2 linked regions of the Mus musculus genome follow. The protein of the gene in region 2 interacts with the protein of the main gene of each other region in a biochemical or structural test. Links are inferred from orthologs where the notes say so. Each region holds a gene or a part of one and is shown on either strand. Other genes may lie near its edges.

Region 1 (7,485 bases), on a different chromosome or scaffold from region 2:
ATAACGACTTATGCAACCTTGAAAATAACATACAACCCTAAAAGAGTAGGTAGGTTGCTTATTTTGTTATTAACTAGAAGAACCATTAAGACCACTTTCCCAGAAAAAAGGAACATGACTGATAGCTGTATATATGAATATAAAGTTATAGACTTCTGTGTTCACTTTAAAGCTACTTAAAAGTCAGCTTAAAGCTAAATTCAGTACTGAGTAAATTCCAACACATCAAAAACTTGTGTCAAGCTACAAACCAAAAACAGCACGATCTGTAAGCCCCAGACAAAACAAAGTCCACACATCTCAAGGAAGACCCTGCTGACTCTCCCAACTGCACCACCCTGAACACTTGCTGTTAACAGGATCTACTCTGAAATCATTCACTGGGTCCACTGAAAAAACATCCTCTCCCATCTACTTCTTAAATGTCAATCACCTCAGTATCTGCCACTCTGGGGATAGAAACAAGCCAGAGAGCACTAAAAATTATTAGGATGTCTTAGGGCTAAATAGACCCATTAATGCAGAGGGAAAACAGCAATCAGACACTCTTATCACTTTTTGAGTCTTCTGACTTCATAGTAGTTACAAAGCAAGCAACTAGAAAGCATCCATAAAATAAGTATTTAATTTAAGCCGGGTGTGGTGGCGCACGCCTTTAATCCCAGCACTCGGGAGGCAGAGGCAGGCAGATTTCTGAGTTCGAGGCCAACCTGGTCTACAAAGTGAGTTCCAGGACAGCCAGGGCTATACAGAGAAACCCTGTCTCGAAAAAACAAAAAACAAAAAACAAAAAACAAACAAAAACAAAAACAAAAAAAAAAACCTTAATTTAAAAAAGCTTTCAGCTTTCAGGCTCAGTGATTAAGTGGTTAAGTGGCTGCTCCTCTAAAGGACCCAGATTCAATTCCCAGCACCCATGTGGCAGCTCACAACTGTCTCTAACTCCAGTTCCAGACCATCACACCAAGCATACATGTGGTACACATATCTTTGCATGCAGGCAAAATACTCAAAATAAATAAAATACTCAAAGTAAAAATACCCAAACTAAAATAAAATAAATAAAATTAATTAATTAATTAAAATAAATAAATCTTTAAAAAAAATGCTTTTCAGATACACTACATAAAAACAGCAGTGTTAGCCAGGTAGCTGCTTGCCTTTAATGCCAGCAATCTGGAGGCAGAGGCAGGCAGATCTCTTGTGAGTTCCAGCCAAACTGATCTACAAAATGAGTTCAAGGTAGACAGGGCTATTAAAAGAAATTCTGTCTCAAAAAGCACCCCCCAACCCCCCACCCCGAGCCAAAAAAAAGTAAGAGAAAGGAAAAGGGGGAGCCAATGGATGTGTGACTCTAACTGCAAAATAATAACAGGATGTGAGAGAGTTCTGAGTATCCAAAGTGACCAATCAGAGCCTAAACAGAGAACTGAATTCCATCCCAGCCCCAGCACGTCCCTAACACAAGAATAAAACCCTTCTTATCTTGTTCAGCCATGTGTCGCCTGCCACAAACTGCAAAACAGAACAACGCCCAAAACCAGCTAGTCTGATTTCCACTGAGGACAGACAGACTCTGTAGTCAGAAGCACCACAATGAAAGAACTCCAACTCATACAGCTGCCCTGGTGGCTCTGCACACTCCACAGAACAAAGCCACACCACATACAGTACTTCAAACTTGAAAGGGTCTCAGAAAAGCTGCACTGGCATTATTAATTTGCCGACAGTCCTAGAATTGGTAAGAATCTATCTCCTGCTAAGTCAGTGGGAAAGGATGTACACAGGGCGGAGGAGAAGCTGCAGTCTATAGGAAGACCTGGCATAAGTACTATTAAACCAGTACTTCCAGATCTCACGTCAACATATACTCAAACCGGGAATTACTACCCTCTTAAAGAGAAAGGGCTGCTTCATATTTACAAAGTACGTTTGGAAAGAAGAAGAAAAAAGTAGTGGTCACCTAGTAATTCTCTTTTTAAAGGGGAAAAGAGAGCCACCAAACTCCAGTGCCTGACAAAGAACTGGATTTCAATTAGTTTTAGTCCAGGATCTTATTTTACATGGCTCAGTTGTCTGAAGCAACATAGTAGAGGTTTATGATGAGAAGTTATTTAGGCCTAAGCCCCACAAAGCATTAACATATTTAGACTGCTTCCCTTGACCAATGTAACTTTTTCCTCTATGTTAAAAGATGAAACACTTGGGTTGGAGAGATGGCTCAGTGGTTAAGAGCACTGACTGCTCTTGCAGAGATCCTGAGTTCAATTCCCAGCAACCACATAGTGGCTTTCAACCATCTGTAATGGGATCCAATGCCCTCTTCTGGTGTGTCTGAAGACAGCTACCGTGGACTGTCATATACATTAAATAAATAGTATTTTTTTTTAAAAAAAAGATAAGAAAAAGATGAAACACTTAAGGTGGGGCAGTGGTGGTGCACGCCTCTGATCCCAGCACTCAGAAGGCAGTGGCAAGAGGATCTCTGGGTTTGAGGCCAGCCTAGCCTACATACAGATAGAACAGCCAGGGCTACACAGAGAAACCCTGTCTTGGGGGAAGGGAGGCAGATACAACACTTGACTCCACAGAATGTGCATCCACTGTTCTCACATAAATATCTAAGAGCAAGAATCCAGCAGGGAGGCAGTCCACCTCTTCAGGAGACTTAGGCAGGGGGAGGACTGCCATGCTACACACAGCCAGATACAAGAAGAAAAATGGGGTGGGGGTGGGGGGCTAAGAGACGGCTCAACAGTTAGGAGCACACCCATACTGTTCTTGTTCTGGCAGAGGACCCAAGTTACATATCCAGCACCCAGGGTAGGCAGCTCACAAGCTCCCATGAAATCCTAAAGCCTCTTCTATCCCAGGTGCACATACCTGCAGTCAGGGGTTTTTAAGATTTATTTTTGTACATGTTTACGGTTCATAAGAAGAATTAAGTTATTTTTTTAAAAAAGACTCAGATTTCAATGTTTATGTCCAATGTGTTTATATACCAGAAAGAGAACAAAAATCCCTGAGGAAAAAAAGCTGGGGAAGAAAAAAAAAATCCTTCCATGGGTGCTTTTGTGTGACTTTTGTGTGGAACGATTCAGTGACTCTAAATTCTGTTTCTACAAATTATTAAACTCTGCAACATCTTAATGAAAACCAGGGCTACACCAGTTTCTGGTAAGTCTGCTTAACTCTAGGCTCAACTGACAGGCAAGGACTGAATGAACCAGCAGCACAATTATCTGGACACCTGTGAGTCAGGCCAGGAGAGGGACCAGGATGGTAGATGTAACAGGAAGAGCCCTGACAACTGTCTCTACATAGAAGTACATTGTATTAGCAGGAAAACCGAAATGAAACCCTGCCTAGCAAAGCAGACAAACAAAGGATAAACATAAGTACTTTAAATATTTAGGGCATCTTTTAGGTGAACACTCATGTGACACTGGAAAGCATCAACAGGAAAGGGAAGCCCTGTCTCTGGAGAAGCTGTTATGGTATGATAATGGAATTTGGCCCCTTTAAAAATCAACAAATGAGTCGCACAATTGGGTGAGACTCTCTCATTAGGAAACTAAACTGCTTTCCGCTGGAGCACTAATGTTGCTCTTGAAGACTTTTGGCCTTCTGCTTCAATACTTTGTTTTGCTTTGTTTTGTTTTGTTTTATGACAACAATTTGAGAAAAAAAAACAACAAGATAAAATTTGGAAGTAACATGCAATGTCATAATTTAGTTGAGGAATAAAATATGCTAAAGGAAGCAACTTGCTTTCACTAAAAAGAACTCAAAGGACCTCTTTAAGAACTACACTTGGACTACATACTCTACACACCACACCGTGTCACCCGATTAACAAACAAGATCCACCTGCCATGCCTAAACCAGAGCTAGAGTTTACATCTTTAAATGCTAGGGCTTCTGAAAGATGAAATGTTAAAAAAAAAAAAAAAAAAAAAAAGAATAATTAGAAGCAGGCCCCATGATTTTTCCCTCATTTCCTTTAGCTCCTGGAAACTGTCCCCAGCAAGAACCCGTGATTTACTGGTAATGTCAACATTCTGGAAAATTAGGTAATTAATAATTAAACACTGTGCAGGTCAACACGTAAAAAGATCAGAGTCACAAATCACAATGCAGCAGGATGAAAATTAAGTTCACAGACAGAAACTCCTAAAATTGTGAGTCTAGAACTACCACAGGACAGGAATCCACCCGATGATGCACCAGTACCCACCGACCTCAAGCTCTGACCTTCACCCAAAATGACCTCCCTCTGGTTCCAAAACGAGTACACAATCTTAATGCACCCGACAGAAAACCACAATCATGGTTTTCCTTCATTTCCTCTGAGAATATGGGGGAAAGTTTCTCTCCCAAAAAAACCTGCATTTCCAAATTCAATCAACCGGTTAACTTGGCAGCAACCCTAGACTAATTGCACAGCTCCGAAACAACCCTCTTTCCTATGCCTGTCAATTGCACTAGCTGAAGGCAAATCTGCATCACCGACTCCCCTGCTGCGTGGGACCGAATCCAGGGAAGGTTAGCGACCGAGGAACTTCATACCCACCTGTCCGTGATAGTAGACTGTGTGCCACTCATTGGGGCCCTTGGCGAGAGGTCTTCTTTTTATCCAACTTGCATTTTACAGTAACACCTCCACACCCCACCCCCAGTGCTCTGGGATCAGGCCCAATTTCGGCAGGGACACAAAAGTCCAACTCAAAACTCCATTCAGTCATCTAGAACATCCGATTGCAAGGGGTCAAGGAAAGGGGATGCGGGCTGAGGCAAAACAAGTTATCTCCCCAAACAAACCGAGCAAGTCGGCCACAAGGCGAGCTCAAGAACTAAGAACGATCCTCAGCAAGGCACGGAGAGAAAACTTCGTCACAGAGGGAAGTCGCGAGCCGTAGGACGGGAACCGGGATCCCTCCGGAGCTGGGGCAGGATCGGCTCAGGGACGGGCGTCGGCTTCGGTCCCGAGTCGGCGGGGCCCGGCCCTCGGGTCCCCGCTCTATCTGGGGCTGCGGGCCACTCGTGGCCGCAGCCTCCGCCGCGTCTCACACCGTCCCGCGCCGGACTCGCGCCGCCCCATGTCCCCGGGCCGAGGGCCCTGAGCTGCTCCGCGCCGCCCCCACCCGGCTCCGGCCGCCGCGCTGACAGGGACCCTGTCTCAGCGCCCGGGGCAGCTCCCCATCCCTCGGAGGCCCCCGCGCTTCTTCCGCAGTGGCACGGCGGCTCCTCCCCGACGCTCTGGTAGGCGGCGGCTCCCGCGAGGAGCGGGAGGTCTCGGCCCGGCCCGGAAGCCCGGCCCCCGAGCAGCGGCGGCGGCGGTGGCGGTGGAGGCTCGGTGCGCAGGGCCGTTCGCCCGGTCTCAGGGGCACTCGCGGGAGCGCGCCCAGGGTGGAGGGGGCCGCCGGCGGTGACGAGCCTTGCGACCGCTGCGGGCGGGCGCGCGCGCGGGTTCCGGTTCCGGTTCTGTCCCCTCGGCCCGGCGCGACTGGAGCGCGCCGAGCCGTCCCCTCCCCCGCCGACTTTTTTGGGCCCTTCTCCCTGGGACTTCGGGAAGCCGCTTCACCCGGGATCCCTCCGCTTCCCGGACTCTCCAAACTTGAGCAGATACTTCCGCTCAGTGCTGTCGCGGGGGATAGAGGGAAGCGAAAAAGTAGTTCTGTGTGGCGAAGCGGGCACTGCTGCCTTCTTGCCCCTCGAATGCTCTCGAGGTGCAGCCCACAGTGTACAATCCACCCGGGACAGCAGAGGAGCCATTCCACAGTCTCGAGGAGTTCACGTTTAGAGGTTCTTCGGAACTCCCGGGCTGGAAACTTTTATTCTTTAAGAGAATGTATTCGTTCCCGGTGTCAAATGCTTTTGATGACTGCGTGCGAGCCCAGGTCCACGGGCCCCCGACAGTGTTAGGCAAACCTGCGCGCGCGCGCACACACACACACACACACACACACACACACACAGGTTTTGGGGTGAGCCAATCACCTGGGGCACCTGCTGGCCTAGTCCCACAGCACGGAGGGGAAAGGGGTGGGGGGATGGCCAGAAGAGGCTGTGGAGAAAGGATCTGGGCCCACACTTAAGCCAGGAGTTCCTGATATAAATATTGCTTTTAGGCTGTTTTGCCTTGGCAAAATGAACTGTATTGTTTGCCAAATTGAGAACGCATGGTGCTTTCCACAGCAAGTTAATAAGCGTGTTGTGAAAAGAGATGGAAGAAGTAATACATCTGTCCGGTAAACAGCACAGCACGAGGGATCCCTTTGAAGAGTTCCCAAATGTTTTCTGGTTTCTCTTTCGATGGGGTAGAGACATTCAGCTAACCATGTAGTTTTCTGATTGAATAAATCTGTCCCTGAGGAAATGAGGGACCACGACACAATATAGTTCTCCAATTCTGCCTGTAAACATCAAGCGACTATTCCTTTTATACAATTATCTTCAGTCTCTTCTGAGCTTCAATCCGTGTAGGTGGGAAGAGACTTCGGCCATTTTGTGGAAATCAAATCTAATAAACAGTGGGTGTGGAAAGGAAATAATTACCTCTTAATAATGCTGTTTCTAAGTCATTCCACAACAGTTCGCGAAACGATCGGATCATCACCCCTGAATAGATGCATGAGCTCAAGGTGACGTTAGAATGGGGGGCAAAGGGGAAAAGATAAACAGAAGCCTGAAATGACTCTCTCGCTAGATTTTTTTTTTTTTAAGTTCGGGGCACAGCCAGCTAATTTTGTAATGTTTATTTTTGGAAAGAATAGAAGCAGATTGGAGTTCCAAGCCACTTTCCTAACGATCAGACCTGGACACGTTGCCATCTGCTGGTAAATCCCAACATGGCAATTCTAGCCTGAAGACTCCAACTTGTTTCTACCTATCGTTGGAAAGAGTTCCAAACATCCATCACTATAAACGAGATGTGAACCTTCTCCCCAAGCTTACTCGAGTTTTCTTGAGTGTGCTGTCCTCTTCTCCCTTGTCCTACTAATGTCACAATGCAAGTATCAAGCGAATGGGGGGGGGGGGTCTGATGACTCATCAAATCATGAATTTTAAAAATAAGTTCCCGTCTTCCTTTCCAGCCTGCCTCAATGCTTGAGCTTCAGGGGTGAGACAAACTGGGAACACTTCCTAGTTCACCTTCTCTTCCTTGCATACAAAACCTTTTGGCAAGCTGTTTTCAACATCTTTCCAAATTTTACAGCCCCAGCGTTCTAGCTGTGAGCAAAGGCGGCATTTTGCTGTGGGAAAGCTTTCAGAAGATGGTCAGCAGAGGACTGAATAACTACTGTTTCAATGATGAAAATCTCTAATCACTCACAAGGCTCTGATTTTATTTTTTAATATCCTGACAAAAGGCTCATTATAACTTCACCACTAAGAGTCTACCTATGGAATGCCTTCAGTAGAGCCAAGCAAACCAAGGTCCCTTCCCTAGGTCACACATAGCCCTTTACCTAGGAAAGTGGC
Region 2 (7,499 bases):
GTGGCCAGCCATGAAGACTCACACCACGTTCACCTGAAGGGCACTCTTGATAAAAAGAGATGAATTCTGACATTTTCATCCACCTGAAAGTATTTCAGGGCAGCCAAAAATAACCTTTCTCAAGCTGTAAACATACAGACTGTGAGACTGACGAGACGGCTCATCTGTTTAAGGTGCTTGCCACCAAGCCTGAAGACCTGAGTTCGATCCCTGAAAAGCACAAAAGTATGGAAAGAGAGAACTGACTCCACAAAGTTGTCCTATGGCCGCCCGCCCGCATACACACACACACTCACACACACACACACACACACACACACACACACACATATGAGTGCCCATGTGCACCCATCATGTGTAAATACACACAAAAATAACTACTAACAATATCTTAACAATGGGCCGCTTCGTGAATTAGCATGCCATCCTCACCCAGAGACCATGCTAATCTTCCGTGGATCATTCCAGTTTTAGCAAGCTCTCCTGGGTGCTCTTTGGGGCTTCCGCTGAAGTGATCTGAGACTGAGTAGACCTGTCCCATGTGACTGAGCATTTATACGGTGGCTTACCCTAACAAGAAGCCCTTTCTACTGAGGCTCCGTTCAAACTTTAACTCCTCTGCCCACCCAGCCCCTAATTCTTCCCTCTGTCCTCTGCGGTCCCAGCACTGAGCAGACACCTAAACTCAGGAGGGGGCAGGACTCGTGTCTTTCATCAGCGCCTTAGTTCTGAGCCAGGGTCAAACATACAGTTTGACAAATGAAAGGTGAAAGGTCAACCCAGCAAAGACAACAAGGAAGCCAAAGAAGGTTCCTTTTCGAGACAGGGTTTCTCTGTGTAGCCCTGGCTGTCCTGGAACTCACTCTGTAGACCAGGTTGGCCTCGAACTCAGAAATCCACCTGCCTCTGCCTCCCAAGTGCTGGGATTAAAGGCGTGTGCCACCACTGCCCAGCCAGAGTAGGTTCTTGTTACCGTATTTTTTAGCTGAGGTTCAGCAAAAGGGCTCACCACAGCTAGCAGGTGGCAGCCATGGGTCCATGACTCAAAGTCATGTGTTTGCGAGCCTAAATCCCTGACGAAGGAAAGAAGGCATAGCAAGAGGTGTCAAGTTGTTTTTAGGTAATTCAGGGACCTCTGCCACCAAGCCTTGTTTAGTTCGGATCCTACCCCATGGACCCATTTCTCGGGATCTCTAGAAAAGTGACCCATCCTCCATAGAGGACAGGAGGGACAGACAGGATGGCAGAGATCACCTGCCCTCTTGGTCTGGCATGTGGGACAGCGGGAAGAACACAGCTGTGTAACCACAAAGCCACCGGCACAAGTGGCTCTGAGTGAGAGCTGTCACATCCCTTTTCAGCGTCTTGGTTTCTTCCTCTGCCCCATGTCTCCATGTCTATCATGTCAGGAGCTGCACTCTATGACCTAGGAGACTGAAAGAAGTCTGTCTAAAAAGCCTAAGGGGTGCTGGAGAGATGACTCAATGGTAAATGGCACTTGTTGCTCTTCCAGAGGACATGAGTTCAAATCCCGGCACCCATGTTGAACAGCTCATAACTGCCTGTAACTGAAGCTTGGAGGGGTGGTGGGGATCCAATGCCCTCTTCTGGCCCCTGGGGAAACTGACTTTTAAAAAGGCCTAGGGGGAGATTTAACTCAGAGGTAGAGTACCTGCGTAGTACACATAAGGCCCTGGTTGGATGGAAGGAGGGAGGGGAGGGAAGGCGAGGAAAAAGGAAGGGAGAGACAAATGACATGAAGACCAGACCCTGGAACCAGGGAGAAAAGCCTGAGACAGGGAAGTCCCCCTGGCCTCTTGGAGCACTCTATTCTCCTCTCTTGTTCAGGAGGACAGCTCATGAAGATGGACATCTGCTCAGAACCCCTAGTGCCCTGTACCCCTTCCAGGAGTTAGAGTCGGGTCCTAACAGACATGTTGCTTTCTACCTAAGGGTCCAGAGCAGCTTCTGGAAAAGCTGGGAGCAGAACAGATGGGGAAAGACAGCACGTGCCCTGCAGGCAGGAAGCAGCCCCAGGAACTGGGTTCTGAGCCCAGCCCTGGCAGCCCTGTTGCACTGTTGGAGCCTGGGGGCCAAGTGCCAGGACACTGCTAGCCCTCAGCCAAGGCTGGACAAAGGCCCTGAGGCCTGAGAAGTGTGTGCCAACATCCGGAGCTGCTCTCTGCCTACCTGCCACCTGTGCCAGTTGAAACCCACCCCACACTCATCTTTGAGTCTCTCTTGCTTGGAGGGAAACAGTGACAGCACTGGGTTCTAGTCCTGATATTAATGCACACGCCAGCATCCCTGAGTCCTGCCTTCCCATTTGAAAATGGGAGGGGGGGTCATCTTTTTTAAAGTTGCATGACATCAATAAGTAGCAGCTGGAGACAAAGCTCTGCTGCTTTCAGCAGAACCAAAAAAAGCCCAGGTAACATCCTCACCCCTACGTCCAGTTGGTTTAGTCCACCTGGGCCCTGCCTGCCAGCAGCCCACTTCTGGTGACAGCAATGGGAAGACAGGGCAATTCAGATCCCAGACCTCTTCTGCCAAATGCCCTTGCCAGCCCCCTTACCTGCCTTCTTCCTGGCCACAATGGCGCCAGTACCTGCAGGCTAGGCACTGTATCACTTACGTGTCATCTGCACGAAGAACAGCAGGGCCCTGTTCTCAAGTGAGCATGCACACCCTCACTGCCCCACAGCTCTGGTTACCCAAACAATAACACCCAGTCCACAGGCACCTCCATGGCCTGGGGGAGGGGACCCAGGCAGCAGGACCCAGGGTTTTGCACCTTGTCAGGCCCAGGAAGTAGAGCTAGAAACTCATCTGTGGTGCTGGAAGGAGAGGCCCAGACAGCTTGAAGATGGACTTAGGGCCACACAACATTTCTGAAGTGAAACTCAATGAAAAAACTCCTCTCCCCCATCCCAGGAAATGTGACAGTCTCCCCTCGCCTGAATTCAGGTGCAACAGTATTCAAACTAAGATGTTTCCGGTTTAACCTGGCCCCCATGAGGCTGCCTCTGGCCTCAGGATTTCCCAAAGGGAAGCAGGAAGTGCTGCCCTGGAGGAGGCCAGCACTCCTAGAACTCTACTCTCCGCGCTAGGGTAAAGCTGTGAGTCCCTAGGCTGAGTCCCTCCCTAGCCATACCGAGGTCAGGCCTCCCTTCCTCTGGAGGCCCAGGTGGCAGGGGCGTGCCCAAGCCAAGGAGTACACCTCTGAGCCTTCCCTGGGGCCTTGTGCCCCAGTCCTGGGGAGTGTGGGGGGAGCACCAGGGGCTGCAGAGAGCAGTGCTCCTCACCTAGGAGGGTGAGTCAGCCAGACAGCCTCTGAGCGCCTGTGTAGGGCCTGTAAAACCCCCGTGGCAAGGATCCCAGAACAATTTACTCCAAATTGCGCCTTCAGGTTGGTTACCTAATCCAGCCGCGCCCACCCTCCAATAGCCAGTGTAGCCCATCCCTTTAAAGGGGCAGCATGCCCTGAGTGCCTGGAGACTTGGGGATCTCACTGTGGATCCTCTCTCTGCCCGTGGTCCTGAGAGACAGGGCTCACAGTGACTGACCTGAGGTACCAAGCATAGGTAAAGGGGTTCAAGCCAGGAGAAAAAGCATCTAGGTTCTGGGATCAAGTGAGGTCTCCTGTACCCCAGCCTCCTGTACCCCAAAACAGCTCCAGTGAAGGAAGGCAGAGTTTCACCTGCCTCCTTCGCAGCAGGAGAGCAGGGAAAGTTTTAAAGTTGCTGGTTCAAAACTTGACCTTGATCCCAGGGTGACAGGACAGCACAGAAGTGGCCTCCTGCATGCTCAGGGTTGGACCACAAAGCCCTCAAAAAAGACAGGAGTTGCTTCTGGGAAAGGCTAGGTGGCAGAAGCCATACTGCCCAAGGGCTCAGCCTTTTTCTACAGGAAAGGAAGGAGGGAGAGAGGAAGACGGAGGCAGAGTCTCTTCTACAGAGACAGTCTTCACAAGATCTAAGGACTTTCCCCACTCTTCAGCATAATCTGAAGTAGGAAGACCCGGTGTCATTAGCTTTAGGGCAAAGGAAAGCAGGCTCCAACTCCAGAGGTGGTATCGTCCCACGTTCCATAACTGCCTGGGATTCAGCAGGGCTACCTTCCTAAGGTCAGAAGTGGAGGAACGAAGAGAGGTCTTGGGGAGAGGTTAAGGTGAGAAACCGGATTCCCATGATCCTTGTCTCTAGTAGAAGCCTAGACATCTGACCCAAGCCTTTCTCCCTTCTGCACTGATTGGGGCAACTCCCACAGCTACTAAAAGATGATAAGCGGGATGGGTCCTAGGTGTCAGATCTCAACACACCGTGGAGATTCCTCTCCTGGCTACTGCAGGGAGGTACTGAGAGCCCAGCAGAACCATCCCCTACACACGCACACCCGGAGCACAAGGGGGTGGAGCCGGACAGTGAGCTAGAGACCGGAGGGCACTCACGTCCCCGCGGGGCTGCAGAGACGCCGCGGGCCGCCCCCGCCCCGCCCCGGTGCGGATCCGGGCTGGCCGGCCGCCGCCGCCTGTCCCCCCAACCCCCGCCCCTCTCACTCACCTCCGGGTCCAGCGGCACCAGCTCCATGAGCGGCCAGGGCTCCTTGAGCTGGGCGAGCGGCATCGCGCCGCTGCCGGACCGCCCGCGCTCCTCCCGGCGGCCCCGGGCAGCGCTGCCTCTGGGCCACGGGGTCCCTGCTGCTACACCGAGACCCCCGCACGCCCCTGAGCCCCTCGCGCTCTGGATGGGCCGTCCGCCGCCGCCGCGGCACTCGCACTTCGGCTCGCTCCGTCACCCGGCGCCGCCGCGCCCATTGGCTACCTGCGCGGGGGCGGGGCCTGAGTAGCCCCGCCCAGTCCCCCCACGGCGCGGCATTCCCGGCGCGGACCCCCGCCCCCAACGCGCCGGGAGTCAGCCTTGCCTTCACGAGAGACCCCAGCCCACTGTCGGCCCTGCCCACCGGAGGCTCCGCGGGTTCCGTTTTCCCGGGCTTTGTGCCGCTTTGCAGACCTCGCTGGGGCCTCCGTTGTCCTGTCCTAGCAGCCTTTGGGATGTTAACCCAGATGTGCCTTCTCCCTCCAGGGGGAGGGGCTGCCACCCCACATTTACATGGGACGTCCTGGGCCTGATCCCGACTGAGGCGTGGAAGGAGCCTGGGCCTTGTGCCCTCTGGCTCTCAGCTCTCCAAGCCCTTAGGATCGCCCCCTTCCGAAAGCTTGTGCACATCACGGGAGCCCACACTTTGGGGTCTCCATGTGATCCCCGGGTCCCAAGCCAGCCAGCGCCAGGACCCACAGCGCCCCCAGGGTGATTTCCTAATACGCATTTTTTTTTCTCCTTCCTAGTCTGTTGTGCCCTATCACTTGAGGGCGCTGGTTTCAGGCCAGGTCCGCGCCTCTTCCGTGGCAGACCAGATTGTGGTCTGACTTGAGCAGGAGTCCCTGGAAAGAAGGCAAAATCCAGTTCTGGTGGGATCAGGATTCTCTCCAGTAAGATTTGGCCTGCTCTTAAGGAGATTTTAGGCCCCAGGTGTCGTGAGACTTACTCTCAGGTGAAAGACAAGCTGGCTCGTTTATTAAAAGCCTCCAGCGAAGACAGGCGTCATTGATAGGGAATTTATTTTTTGTTACGTTTCCTTGCTTGGTTATGGCCATGGAACCCAGGCTTTGCCGGCCAGGTCGTGTTGAGTATCTCCGACCTCCACCTTCAGGCAGCTTGTGATTTTTTTTTTGAGACTCCACCCCATCCTAGTAGACACCCTAAGCTATTTATCCGAAGTCACACAGCAGGTCAGGAGCACACTGGTGTTTAAAAGAGTGTGGGGTGGGTCCGTGGATGGACTCAATGGGTAAAAGAGCTTGCCTTCCCTGAGTCTGATCCCCAGGCCCCATGTGGTGGAAGAGAACCAACTCATAAGCAGTCCTTTGACCTCCACAAATGTGCACAGGGACAACCTTCCCCGATAAAGACATTTTAATGCAGTACATTTTTAAGTGGAGAGAAGTCACTCACGCCTCTAATCCTAGCAGTAGGGAGGCAGAGGCAGGAGGATCTCTGTTCAGGGCTAGCTTGGGCTACTTAGCCAATTCTAGGCCAGCCAGGGCTACACAGTAAGAACCTGTATCAAAACAAAACAAACAAACCCCCCAAACCCCAAAAACCCAACTAAGTAAATAAATAAATGAATAAATAGAAATAAATTTAATCCAGGAGATTCAGGCCAGAGGATTGTGACTTTGAGGCCAGTGTGGACTGCATAATAGAGATGTTGTCTAAAAATCAAAAATTAAATTAAATCAAAAAAGAAATAAAAACAGATGCTGTTTTCCCAGTAAGCATTTATAATCTCACTGCGGAGGCTACTGACACAGGATCTCATTGGTCAGCCAGGCAAGCCAAATAGGTGAGTTCCAGGTTCAAAGAGAGACTCACACAATAAAAAGATAAACCTGTAGCCTAGACATACATGGTCACTCACATGCACATGTTCAGACATCCTCATGCACAGGTACCACAGACACATGCATACATACATGCAGACACATGCACACAGACATGTGCACACATGCATACACTCACATGCACAGACACATGCATACATACATGCAGACACATGCACACAGACATGTGCACACATGCATACACTCACATACACACAGACACATGCATACATACATGCAGACACATGCACACAGACATGTGCACACATGCATACACTCACATACACACAGACACATGCATACATACATGCAGACACATGCACACAGACATGTGCACACATGCATACACTCACATGCACACAGACATGCACATATGCATGCAGACGTGTACACAGACACATGCACATATAACACACATTTACATGCACATATGCATACATGCACAGGCACAAAGACACATGCACACATGTGTATATGTACATGCACATATATGTACAGACACATGCATACAGACACACGTGCACACACATACACAATGAAGTCGACACCAATTTCTCGAAAATCTACATGCCCCCTTATCCCGAGTCTCCCCTTTAGTGGAATGGATGACTTGAACTGCATTTTGAGTAGAAAAGACTTTGGAATCCAAAAAACCCCATAGATTTGAATTCCAGACCTGCCCTCTCTTTAAGCATTGGACAACTCCTGTCTTTTTTGTTTGTTTTGGTTTTTTTGTTTTTGTTTTGTTTTTTGTTTTTGTTTTTCAAGACAGGGTTTCTCTGTATAGCCCCGGCTGTCCTGGAACTCACTCTGTAGACCAGGCTGGCCTCGAACTCAGAAATCCACCTGCCTCTGCCTCCCGAGTGCTGGGATCAAAGGCATGCGCCACCACGCCCGGCCAACAACTCCTGTCTTTAAGTTCAGCTTCTTTATCTGAAAATTGGGAATTATAACTTCAATCTTTTAGGTCTGCAGTTAGGACTAAAGTCATTGTAACCCTATATATAATTTAGAGTTATGAATAGCACACCAGGCCCTCTCAGCATGGTGGCAACAA

Evidence for each region. The genes of interacting proteins can lie anywhere in the genome.
Region 1: the proteins of Rps6ka1 (region 2) and Arhgef12 interact in a test that uses a peptide from one of them, tested with the Homo sapiens proteins (2 studies listed by BioGRID and IntAct, with this or other methods). The link is inferred for Mus musculus from reciprocal best matches to the Homo sapiens genes RPS6KA1 and ARHGEF12.

What each region holds. Positions count from the first base shown.
Region 1 is NC_000075.6:43,100,606-43,108,090, forward strand, and holds the start of Arhgef12 (rho guanine nucleotide exchange factor 12), read right to left. Parts: upstream 5,114-7,485; 5' UTR 4,606-5,113; coding exon 4,574-4,605; intron 1-4,573. UniProt on the Homo sapiens protein: May play a role in the regulation of RhoA GTPase by guanine nucleotide-binding alpha-12 (GNA12) and alpha-13 (GNA13). Acts as guanine nucleotide exchange factor (GEF) for RhoA GTPase and may act as GTPase-activating protein (GAP) for GNA12 and GNA13.
Region 2 is NC_000070.6:133,883,008-133,890,506, forward strand, and holds the start of Rps6ka1 (ribosomal protein S6 kinase alpha-1), read right to left. Parts: upstream 4,791-7,499; 5' UTR 4,626-4,790; coding exon 4,563-4,625; intron 492-4,562; exon of another isoform or gene 392-491; intron 1-391. UniProt on the Homo sapiens protein: Serine/threonine-protein kinase that acts downstream of ERK (MAPK1/ERK2 and MAPK3/ERK1) signaling and mediates mitogenic and stress-induced activation of the transcription factors CREB1, ETV1/ER81 and NR4A1/NUR77, regulates translation through RPS6 and EIF4B phosphorylation, and mediates cellular proliferation, survival, and differentiation by modulating mTOR signaling and repressing pro-apoptotic function of BAD and DAPK1.